Arabidopsis thaliana: one gene and its partner. The protein of the gene in region 1 interacts with the protein of each later gene in a pairwise test. Each region holds a gene or a part of one and is shown in the gene's direction. Other genes may lie near its edges. The genes, in order: AT5G25260 and CA1.

Evidence for each region.
Region 2: the proteins of AT5G25260 (region 1) and CA1 interact in a protein complementation assay, tested with the Arabidopsis thaliana proteins (one large-scale study listed by BioGRID).

What each region holds. Positions count from the first base shown.
Region 1 is NC_003076.8:8,750,569-8,755,066, forward strand, and holds AT5G25260 (SPFH/Band 7/PHB domain-containing membrane-associated protein family), read left to right. Parts: upstream 1-2,115; 5' UTR 2,116-2,182; coding exon 2,183-2,543; intron 2,544-2,683; coding exon 2,684-3,714; 3' UTR 3,715-3,954; downstream 3,955-4,498. Other genes in the region: FLOT1 (SPFH/Band 7/PHB domain-containing membrane-associated protein family), read left to right, coding at 1-862; AT5G25265 (Hyp O-arabinosyltransferase-like protein), read right to left, coding at 4,226-4,285, 4,425-4,498. UniProt on the Arabidopsis thaliana protein: May act as a scaffolding protein within caveolar membranes, functionally participating in formation of caveolae or caveolae-like vesicles.
Region 2 is NC_003074.8:193,783-200,165, reverse strand, and holds CA1 (carbonic anhydrase 1), read left to right. Parts: upstream 1-2,005; 5' UTR 2,006-2,292; coding exon 2,293-2,514; intron 2,515-2,601; exon of another isoform or gene 2,602-3,318; intron 3,319-3,440; coding exon 3,441-3,502; intron 3,503-3,660; coding exon 3,661-3,810; intron 3,811-3,910; coding exon 3,911-3,959; intron 3,960-4,067; coding exon 4,068-4,184; intron 4,185-4,324; coding exon 4,325-4,378; intron 4,379-4,471; coding exon 4,472-4,557; intron 4,558-4,654; coding exon 4,655-4,760; intron 4,761-4,828; coding exon 4,829-4,987; coding exon of another isoform or gene 4,988-4,993; exon of another isoform or gene 4,994-5,274; coding exon 5,275-5,313; 3' UTR 5,314-5,740; downstream 5,741-6,383. Other genes in the region: LSF1 (uncharacterized protein), read left to right, coding at 92-307, 412-517, 630-742, 918-1,062, 1,189-1,311. UniProt on the Arabidopsis thaliana protein: Reversible hydration of carbon dioxide. Required for photosynthesis in cotyledons. Binds salicylic acid.

The sequences.
Region 1 (4,498 bases):
GATGAAGGGAGAGATCGGTGCCAAGGAACGGACTGGTCTTACTCTCCAGAACGCAGCCAAAATTGACGCTGAGTCAAAGATCATATCGATGCAGAGGCAAGGAGAAGGAACAAAAGAAGAAATCAAAGTGAGGACTGAGGTTAAAGTGTTTGAGAATCAGAAGGAGGCTGATGTAGCTAAGGCCAATGCCGAGCTTGCGATGAAAAAAGCTGCTTGGACTAAGGATGCTCAGGTGGCTGAGGTTGAAGCAACCAAGGCCGTGGCTTTGAGAGAAGCTGAGCTTCAGACTCAGGTCGAGAAAATGAACGCTTTGACTCGAACAGAGAAGCTCAAGGCTGAGTTCCTTAGCAAAGCTAGTGTTGAGTATGAAACCAAGGTTCAAGAAGCAAATTGGGAACTATACAACAAGCAGAAACAAGCAGAGGCGGTTCTATACGAGAAACAAAAGCAAGCCGAGGCACAGAAAGCGCAAGCGGATGCGGCTTTCTACTCAAAGCAGAAAGAAGCAGAGGGACTTGTTGCCTTAGCTAGTGCGCAAGGGACTTATCTAAGAACCCTCTTAGACGCTGTTCAGAATGACTATTCTTGTCTTAGAGACTTCTTGATGATTAACAATGGTATTTATCAAGAGATCGCTAAGACTAATGCGATGGCGGTTAGAGACTTGCAGCCCAAGATTAGTGTTTGGAACCATGGTGGAGAACAGGGTGGTGGTAGTGGGAATGCTATGAAGGATATAGCTGGACTTTACAAGATGTTGCCTCCGGTTCTTGATACGGTTTATGAGCAGACTGGGATGCAGCCACCTGCTTGGATCGGTACTCTACGTGGTGCGGAACCGAAGCAAGTGACTCGCAGCTAAGAGAATAGTGGCATGGTTTGGTCGTTTACTTGTGGTTGAAGATACATCCATGCGAATGTAATTTTTTATTATTTTAATCCTGTTGGAGGACTTGGCTTATTCTTGTGTGTGTTTTGAAGTGTGTTATTGATATTCTTAATTGAATCGTATTCGTATATGTTGAAAATAAATTAAAATGAGGAATAACCAAAACCAGAGAATTATTTCATTTTTATATATTGGAGTCTTGAACTATTTCAAATTCAAAGAACGATAGCTCGTCCTTTCGGGAACAACCAAAATCAACGCCCTCCGATATGTGGGCTAAATAGGAGAAAACTGGTTCGGATGGTGGCTAGAAAATAAAATTTTGCGGTTTTGGCGGAAAAACACATCATGAGAATGGAAGGTGTTATGCGCATAGTCTGATGGGAGGTGATCTAGCCACTGACTGACTGACTAAGAATTGTGTTATGCGTGTAGTCTAGCGGAAGGTGAAAGGTAGGAATAGTCATTTGGAGAATTAGGACGCGCTTGGGTCATCGACCAGGACAGGAGCAGCTAGCTACTAGCTGACTATCTGAAGTCTTCTTCATGTGTAGTTTCTTGGAAGTGGGTTGAAGTTTTATCTTATTAGGAATTTGCAAAAAGTCTCCGATCCTATTTTATTCTAAAATATCATATGTCATAGTCAAACAAGTTTGAAGAGATTTTGGCAAACTCAACGTCTTATTATCAAAATGAAAATTGTAATGTATATAAGCTTGGTCATGGTCAACATTTAATATAAGATGTAACTATATGCTATACGTAAACATCCGAGATTAGGATCTACATCTATTGGTTTAATGAATTATGATTTATTTTGTTTGGTTTATATATGGTGTACTTATATACTATAGTTTACCCTACCAAAAAGAAAAATATACTATAGTTTAAAAGATTTTGAATTTTATGTATTTGCTGTATCGTGTACATACATTTTTATTTTTTTTTGCTAAACCGTGTTCATACATATAAATCTTGAATTTTATCAAAGACAATTTCATCAAATTTTAACAAATATGATTTTTTTTGCAATACAATTCAGCTTGACAAAATCTAAATAGAAAGTCAAGAATGAAACATTCTTCACAATCATCCTTTTTTTTTGTGATATATACAAGTTTGTGAAATTTCTTTAACATTTCTCTAACAGTGACAGACAAAGTCTTGTAACATGTCAACGACTATATGTAATATATAAACACTTCTCACGAAACAAAAAAACAAGTACAGCTACTCATTCTTCGTCTCCAAAATCATTTTGGCGAAAAGCAATCAAATCCTTAGATCCTAGACATGTTCAAGGTTGCAAGAGCATCACAGTACTTAGCCATCACCGGTGGTGGGATCGAAGATATCAAGCTCTCGAAGAAATCATGGGTGTTTCCATGGCAAAGGTGCACCGTTTTCGACGTATCTCCCGTGAACTACACTTTCAAAGTCCAAGCCATGAGTGCAGAGAAGCTCCCTTTCGTTCTCCCTGCTGTCTTCACTATCGGCCCTCGTGTCGATGACACTGAAGCGCTGATTCTGTACGCTAGGCTTATTTCGCCTCATGACAAACAGTCAAATCATGTGAATGAGCTTGTTGAAGGTGTTATCGAGGGAGAGACTCGTGTTCTCGCTGCTTCCATGACCATGGAAGAGATCTTTAAAGGTAACTTATATACTTTTTTTGGTCCCAAAACATTTGGTGTTGCCACAATGTAACACAAACCATTAGGCCATACTAATACAATGAATTTTCTGAACGATTTGATTAAAAAGGTTTTTTTTTTTGTTTATATGGATTTGAAGGGACGAAAGAGTTTAAGAAGGAAGTGTTTGATAAGGTTCAATTAGAATTAGACCAGTTTGGTCTCGTAATCTACAATGCAAACGTGAAACAGCTCGTTGACGTGCCTGGACATGAGTACTTCTCTTACTTGGGTCAGAAAACCCAAATGGAAGCAGCAAATCAGGCCAGGATCGATGTGGCTGAGGCCAAGATGAAGGGAGAGATCGGTGCCAAGGAACGGACTGGGCTTACGCTACAGAACGCTGCGAAAATTGACGCGGAGTCAAAGATCATATCGATGCAGAGGCAAGGAGAAGGGACGAAGGCGGAGATCAAAGTGAAGACTGAGGTTAAAGTGTTTGAGAATCAGAAGGAAGCTGATGTAGCTAAGGCCAACTCCGAGCTAGCTATGAAGAAAGCTGCTTGGACCAAGGATGCTAAGGTTGCTGAGGTTGAAGCAACCAAGGCCGTGGCTTTGAGAGAAGCTGAGCTTCAGACTCAGGTCGAGAAAATGAACGCTTTGACTCGAACAGAGAAGCTCAAAGCCGAGTTCCTTAGCAAAGCCAGTGTTGAGTATGAAACCAAGGTTCAAGAAGCAAATTGGGAATTGTACAACAAGCAGAAGCAAGCGGAGGCAGTTCTATATGAGAAGCAAAAGCAAGCCGAGGCACAGAAAGCTGAAGCAGACGCTACGTTCTACTCAAAGCAGAAAGAAGCAGAGGGACTTGTTGCTTTAGCCAGTGCTCAAGGAACTTATCTCAGAACCCTCCTAGACGCTGTTCAGAATGACTATTCTTGTCTTAGAGACTTTTTGATGATTAACAATGGCACTTATCAGGAGATTGCTAAGACTAACGCGCTTGCGGTCAGAGACTTGCAGCCCAAGATTAGCGTTTGGAACCATGGTGGAGAACAGGGGATTGGTGGTGCTAGTGGGAGTGGTATGAAGGATATAGCTGGACTTTACAAGATGCTGCCTCCGGTTCTCGATACAGTTTACGAGCAGACTGGGATGCAGCCGCCGGCTTGGATCGGTACTCTAAGCAAGTGACCGCCTCGACAGCTAAGAGGTTGATGCCATGGTTTGGTCGTTACTTGTGATTGATAATCATTGAAAGTGTAAAGTGTTATTTTATTTTAATCCCGTTGGAAAACTTGGTTTATTCGTAAGTGTTTGAGGTTGTATTTTTTACTTTAATTGTATTCGTATATATGTTGAATGTGAAATAAAAATGAGAGACAAATTTTCAGGAATTTGCAGAGACCATAAGGTTATTTTGTAGTATGTAATGTATGTACATATTGAGTGGTGTTTGATGTGTGTATCAAGTCTAGGCTTATTGTAATTTATCCTTTGAGATGCTAGAGGACAACAAAATCTAGTGGAGACCAGACTGAATTAGAGAAGTAAAATGCCAAAGAAATGCTTTGTTTGAATCACTATATATGTTACAAACCTAGCCACAACCAAAGGAGAAACTAAAGAGCAGGACAAGGTATTTTGAAAAGAAAGGAGCAACTCACAGGTACATATAGATTACGGTTTCTCTCTCTCTGTCTCTTTATGATCCCCAGTTTGGTATGTTGGCCGTGGCTTCATTTATCATCTTCACTAGTGTTACCTGCCAATACATTAATGAAGAGAACTGAGCTGTGTTTGTAATCATTCGCAGGGAAGTTGCCGCGTAATTCGGCCCACCGACTGGAACATAAAATGGGTAATGTGTTTTAGAAAAATGAAGGCAGGACATGTAAACATACCACACTTTGTGAAACACCAGGTGGAGGCATTGTAAGGTTCCTTGGTGGTGGTTTGCTATCATACGATCTTTTGT
Region 2 (6,383 bases), on another chromosome or scaffold:
GTATGCAAAGTCATATCGCCTTGAGGCACATTATGTGCGTTCATGCTTTCATTTCCTACCGCTCTAATCAGTTTTGATATTTTGGTGCCAGGGATGCAGATTCCTTTGATCTTAGGAAGAAGCTACCACTTTGTGTTGGGCTCTTACTACGGTTACTGAAAAAGAACCATCGTGTCTTTGTAACTTGTACCACTGGTTTTGACCGGTCATCCGCTTGTGTGATTGCTTATCTGCACTGGATGACTGATACCTCTCTTCATGCTGCTTATAGTTTCGTTACTGGATTGCACGCTTGCAAACCTGACAGGTTTTTATCCATCTTATCTCTGTCTTGACCATTAACCTGCAGACCATGGATAGCTTTTCTGTTTTAATGAAAACATCAGACAAGTTATATGTATTTTTTCACAGACCTGCAATTGCTTGGGCAACATGGGATCTTATCGCTATGGTGGACGATGGCAAACATGATGGGACTCCAACACACTCTGTAACCTTTGTGTGGAATGGACATGAGGTGACTGTTGCTTCACATGCTTTTATTACTTTGCTGCAATTCTTTATGGAACTCGTGATCTGTAGGGTTGAGCAACTAGCCTCTGTGTTTTAAGTTACACCTTGGTTTACAGGGGGAGGAGGTATTGTTGGTTGGGGATTTCACAGGAAATTGGAAAGAACCGATAAAAGCAACGCACAAAGGCGGTCCACGTTTTGAAACTGAAGTTAGACTTACACAGGGAAAGTAAGTCATGCTTCTTTTACCTTTCCCGTTGATGCTTTTTTTAAGGTTCAACAGTAAAACGTCTCATAATCTTCCCTGCATGTTAATTGTGACTTTTGAGGGATTGCAAACTGCAAAGAAACTTATGAAAATGCATTTGTGTCATATAACTTGGTGATTATTGACAATGTGGCAGATACTACTACAAGTACATAATCAACGGTGATTGGAGGCATTCAGCAACTTCACCAACGGAAAGAGATGACCGAGGAAACACGAACAATATAATTGTAGTTGGTGATGTTGCTAACGTCAGGCCTACAATTCAACAACCAAGAAAGGTTACTCCTACTATGCAGTAGTCTCTTCTTCATACAATAGGAAAAGCTTGAATAAGATGTTCCACGTTATATTTGCCTGATTGGTTCAAGACATAAACCTGAAGCAACTTGTACAATGTTTTGCAGGATGCAAATATCATAAAGGTGATCGAGAGAGTGTTAACAGAGAGCGAAAGATTTAGGCTGGCGAAAGCAGCTCGGTGTATCGCATTCTCAGTTTGTCCAATAAGACTATGCCCAAAGTCGTAGAAGTTTTGTTTTGGCATAAGTTAAAATGTTACATCCATTCTTCTGTCTCTATCCATTCCTCGAGGTACTTAACCCTAATATCGTTGTGAACAACATTGCCACATTCGCGCACTCTATGACAAGAGAATGTTGACATTATGTTGTGTGTTTGCATGAAAAAATGTCGACATAGTTTCGCCGTTGCCCACTTTACATATAAGTCCCAAAACCAACCCTAATGCGTTACTGGTCTCTGTATTTCTTCTTCATTTTCTCTCTCTCTCTCGCTCTCTCCTAACATGTTGAAGAAAATAGAAACTCTGTTATCTAATGTTGCCTATATGATGATTTATGGCCATGGAAGGTCTGAGAGGAGAGACCCTTCTTCTCTATTTTTTTTATTTCCTCTTCATTTTCATGCTAAGAGTTTTCACTGAGTCTGTTGTTTCGTAGAGTAGAACAGTCCATGATCGATGTTAATCCTTTGCATCTTCTAGATTGTGTATACAATAGCAATCTCTGGTCTAGAGAGAGCCTAGAGAAGTATGGATCTTTCTATATGTATACCACAAACAAATGGCCTAACATCTAAAGTGGGTGGTGATTATTTAAGATGAGAGCCTGAGAGGGTAAGTGAAAGAGGCTGATCCTTGTTTTCATGATAAGGGACCTTATCCTCTAAACCTTTCTGAGACCTTTTATTTTTTTATAAAAAAAAGAATTGAAAGAAGAAAAGAGCACGTAAAAGTTTTGAAATCTTGAGCTAATATTCCTCATCCACAAGAAAAGAAGAAAGTTTGTTATTCACCGCAGCTATCGCTTTCGTTATCCTCGTTCCCACAACCTCACCATGACCATGAGACTCCGTTCTTTTAAACTCCCAAATCTTTCAACCAATCCCATTATTCACTTAAGTATATAGTAGCTTCCATAAGAGTCTTAGTTCTAACTATAAATACACATATCTCACTCTCTCTGATCTCCGCTTCTCTTCGCCAACAAATGTCGACCGCTCCTCTCTCCGGCTTCTTTCTCACTTCACTTTCTCCTTCTCAATCTTCTCTCCAGAAACTCTCTCTTCGTACTTCTTCCACCGTCGCTTGCCTCCCACCCGCCTCTTCTTCTTCCTCATCTTCCTCCTCCTCGTCTTCCCGTTCCGTTCCAACGCTTATCCGTAACGAGCCAGTTTTTGCCGCTCCTGCTCCTATCATTGCCCCTTATTGGGTATACATTTTTACATTCATCACTGTTTCTTAACCTACATTATTTCTTACATAACTTACATTGCTGTTTACGTATAATAGGGGTACATTACATAGATAGCAAACTAAAGTTACAGAATTTTAAAATTTGTAAAGATTTTACGAAATTATTATATAGATTCTGCAATTGCCATTTTAGTGATAGGAACAAAAATCTTCTATAGAAACTAGCTTACGAAACTTCCACAAATCTTGGAAACTGTCACATGTGTTTCACATTTCAGTTTTTTTTTCCCTTGGTATTTCCTTATATTATCCTTACTATTATCATCCGTGTTTGACTTTTGGTCTTTAGCGTGGTACTGAAAGAATTACCCAAATTAACAAGAATCAAACTAAAGTTGCTTAATTAGTGAATCACAAGCAAGGGAAGAGTTCATTTTCAATCCTTATTCTATACAGATCTTCAAACTACTTGCTTCGACATCTAGTGAAGTTAAAAACAAATCACCTCGAAATATTAAAAGCGTTGTCTCATTCCTACCCAAGATCCGACATTTTTGAAATTTTGAGAGTTAGAACGTACGTAGGATCCACGTGATAAAAGAAAAGTTGCTAGTAGTAGCTTCAACAAAAACGATTCATGAAACTGAGACGTGTGTGTATGCACATGTACCATATGAGAGCGTGTGGAGCATAGTGGTGATTAAGTCGCCATCTATATTTATTCATTCAACCTACCGATTTGGTTCCTACTAGCGAAAATAAAATCATAATATAAAAGACTATAAAATTGTACTTTATCGTATAATGAAGTTCTGAACAGGTTGATTGTAGTTTCAACATTTAAAACACGTCATGACTCGCTCTCTACTTAATTACGTTCACGACAATAAAATATACTAGTACTCATTTTCTTCTAATTTTATTTGGTCAACCAACTTGCAGAGTGAAGAGATGGGAACCGAAGCATACGACGAGGCTATTGAAGCTCTCAAGAAGCTTCTCATGTAAGTATATACATCTTTTCTATTCGCATGCATACATTAATACATGATTAGATTAATAAAAGCTAAAACATTATTATAAATTAGTAACGGGATTTTTCAATACTACTTAATTCATAATTTTTGTGATTTAACTATAAATGTATATAAACATATGGCAGCGAGAAGGAAGAGCTAAAGACGGTTGCAGCGGCAAAGGTGGAGCAGATCACAGCGGCTCTTCAGACAGGTACTTCATCCGACAAGAAAGCTTTCGACCCCGTCGAAACCATTAAGCAGGGCTTCATCAAATTCAAGAAGGAGAAATACGAGTAATATATATTTCTATTTCATTTGTTTGTTCTTAATTATGTCACCAACTAAAGTGGTCTAGATTAATTAACTGGTTCATATTTATACTTTTATTTGCAGAACCAACCCTGCTTTGTACGGTGAGCTCGCAAAGGGTCAAAGTCCTAAGGTAAATTAAAAATAAAACTAATACTATGTGTATATCATGGTTGCTTATAAATTAAAAATGAAACATTAAGAAAAAGTAATTAACAAAGGTGTGTGAATGGTGGTGCAGTACATGGTGTTTGCTTGTTCAGACTCACGTGTGTGTCCATCACACGTTCTGGACTTTCAGCCAGGAGATGCCTTCGTGGTCCGTAACATAGCCAACATGGTTCCTCCTTTCGACAAGGTTAATAATTTAACACGTCTGTCTCTCTATAGATATAAACTCTTCTATCTTAAACCTTCTGCCTCTTGAGTCTTGACTTTTGTCTTGAGAAGTCGTGACATTCACTTTCTATTTTCATTTTTGGGTTGCTAAATTGGCAGGTCAAATACGGTGGCGTTGGAGCAGCCATTGAATACGCGGTCTTACACCTTAAGGTGAAAATAAAATAAAATAATTAACACCTTAACCAAAAAAAATTATTTATCAAAGTACATGTAATTAATTTTTGAATGAATTTATTACTGTAGGTGGAGAACATTGTGGTGATAGGACACAGTGCATGTGGTGGGATCAAAGGGCTTATGTCTTTCCCCTTAGATGGAAACAACTCCACGTAAAATATCTCTATATCCATTTTATTAAAATTTAATCAATTTTAATAACAGGATTTATTAAATGAGATTAGTAAAAAATATATACGTTAATTGCAGTGACTTCATAGAGGACTGGGTCAAAATCTGTTTACCAGCCAAGTCAAAGGTTATATCAGAACTTGGAGATTCAGCCTTTGAAGATCAATGTGGCCGATGTGAAAGGGTATACAAACACATGTTAGATCGATGAGCTGATCATATATAACAATATAAATGTATTGATAAATGCAGGAGGCGGTGAATGTTTCACTAGCAAACCTATTGACATATCCATTTGTGAGAGAAGGACTTGTGAAGGGAACACTTGCTTTGAAGGGAGGCTACTATGACTTCGTCAAGGGTGCTTTTGAGCTTTGGGGACTTGAATTTGGCCTCTCCGAAACTAGCTCTGTATGAACCAATCCATCATCATCATCATCATCATGACCATCCATCATCATCATCATTATTATCATCGTATATAATATATATCTACCCCATATGTAATTTGTAATGTGCCTTTGACTGTGATGAGTTATCTCTCCCTCTCTACCAACTTTCTTCATATATATAAAACAAAAAGGAAAAGCAGATGATATAGATCTTTCGTGGTTTAATTATGAACAATTGTCTTTATTATTTGTGTATCAAATCGGTTGTATTTATGGTTTGATTTTATTTTCTATGTTGTTTGGTAGGTTAAAGATGTGGCTACCATACTACATTGGAAGCTGTAGGAAACTCTTTGAAGCCTTACCCGATTTCACATTGTCAATTCAATAACACCAAGTTGTTGTTTACATGCAGATCTTGATGAAACTGGTTTTTGATTTTACAGAATTAAAATCTTGGGGGACAGAAATTTGAATAAAAACTAAAAAAAAAAAAATCAAAAAAAAATCATTGAATCGTAAATAAGGATATCCGGGACGGGCGGATCCGGATAATGAAAAAAATGAACCCGGATATCCGGATCCGGTACCATTAACTACATGAAATAAAAAGGCTTGGAAACCCATTTAGCTAAAAGCCCATATATTTAACAAACCAAATATTTTTGATACCCAAGCCCAATTAATTATCACTTGCCGACACAAACACAAAATCATTCTTTGAAGGTCACAAAATCATTTCGATCTCTTCTCGATATCTCACAAACCCTAGAACTCTGGATCTTTTAATTTCTGGGTTCGATACCCAAATCCTTAAAACTGTCGAATTCTGGTACCCGGAACCCGGATATCCCAGTCTAACAGATCCGGATGCGGATAGTGAAACTGTAGATTTGTAGCTTCGTAGTTTTTTGGTCATATAAAATATAAACATCTGAAATTTGTCTGTGTATGTTGCTGTTTAAATTTGTCCGCCTACACATTATGGGCCTAGGCCCAAGTTTGCAATTCTTTATTGTGGCAATTAAATGGTCAGGTTCGGTTTAGGTTTTACATATCCATCATGAAAAAGCACCGTTGAACGGGCTTAAATCTTTGTCCAAGGACGACGTTTATGAATCCGGTATAAATCGATCGAAGAAGATTAAACCCACAAAACGAAAAGGCTAAAGCTTGAGGAAAAAGTAGCAAAGTGACCAAGAGTCCCATGATTTCATGAAGACATGAACTATATATATCTACTCATTGATTTGATAAATACATTATATTTGATGTTACATATTTTTATTTGAGATTTCTAATATATATTTTCAGAATGATAAATTTTATTTTTATATTTATCTTGAACTGATTTTTAAGAGAAAAATACACCGAAAGAAAGCGAAGAGTTAATTGCCTACCAAAAAAAAAGAGAA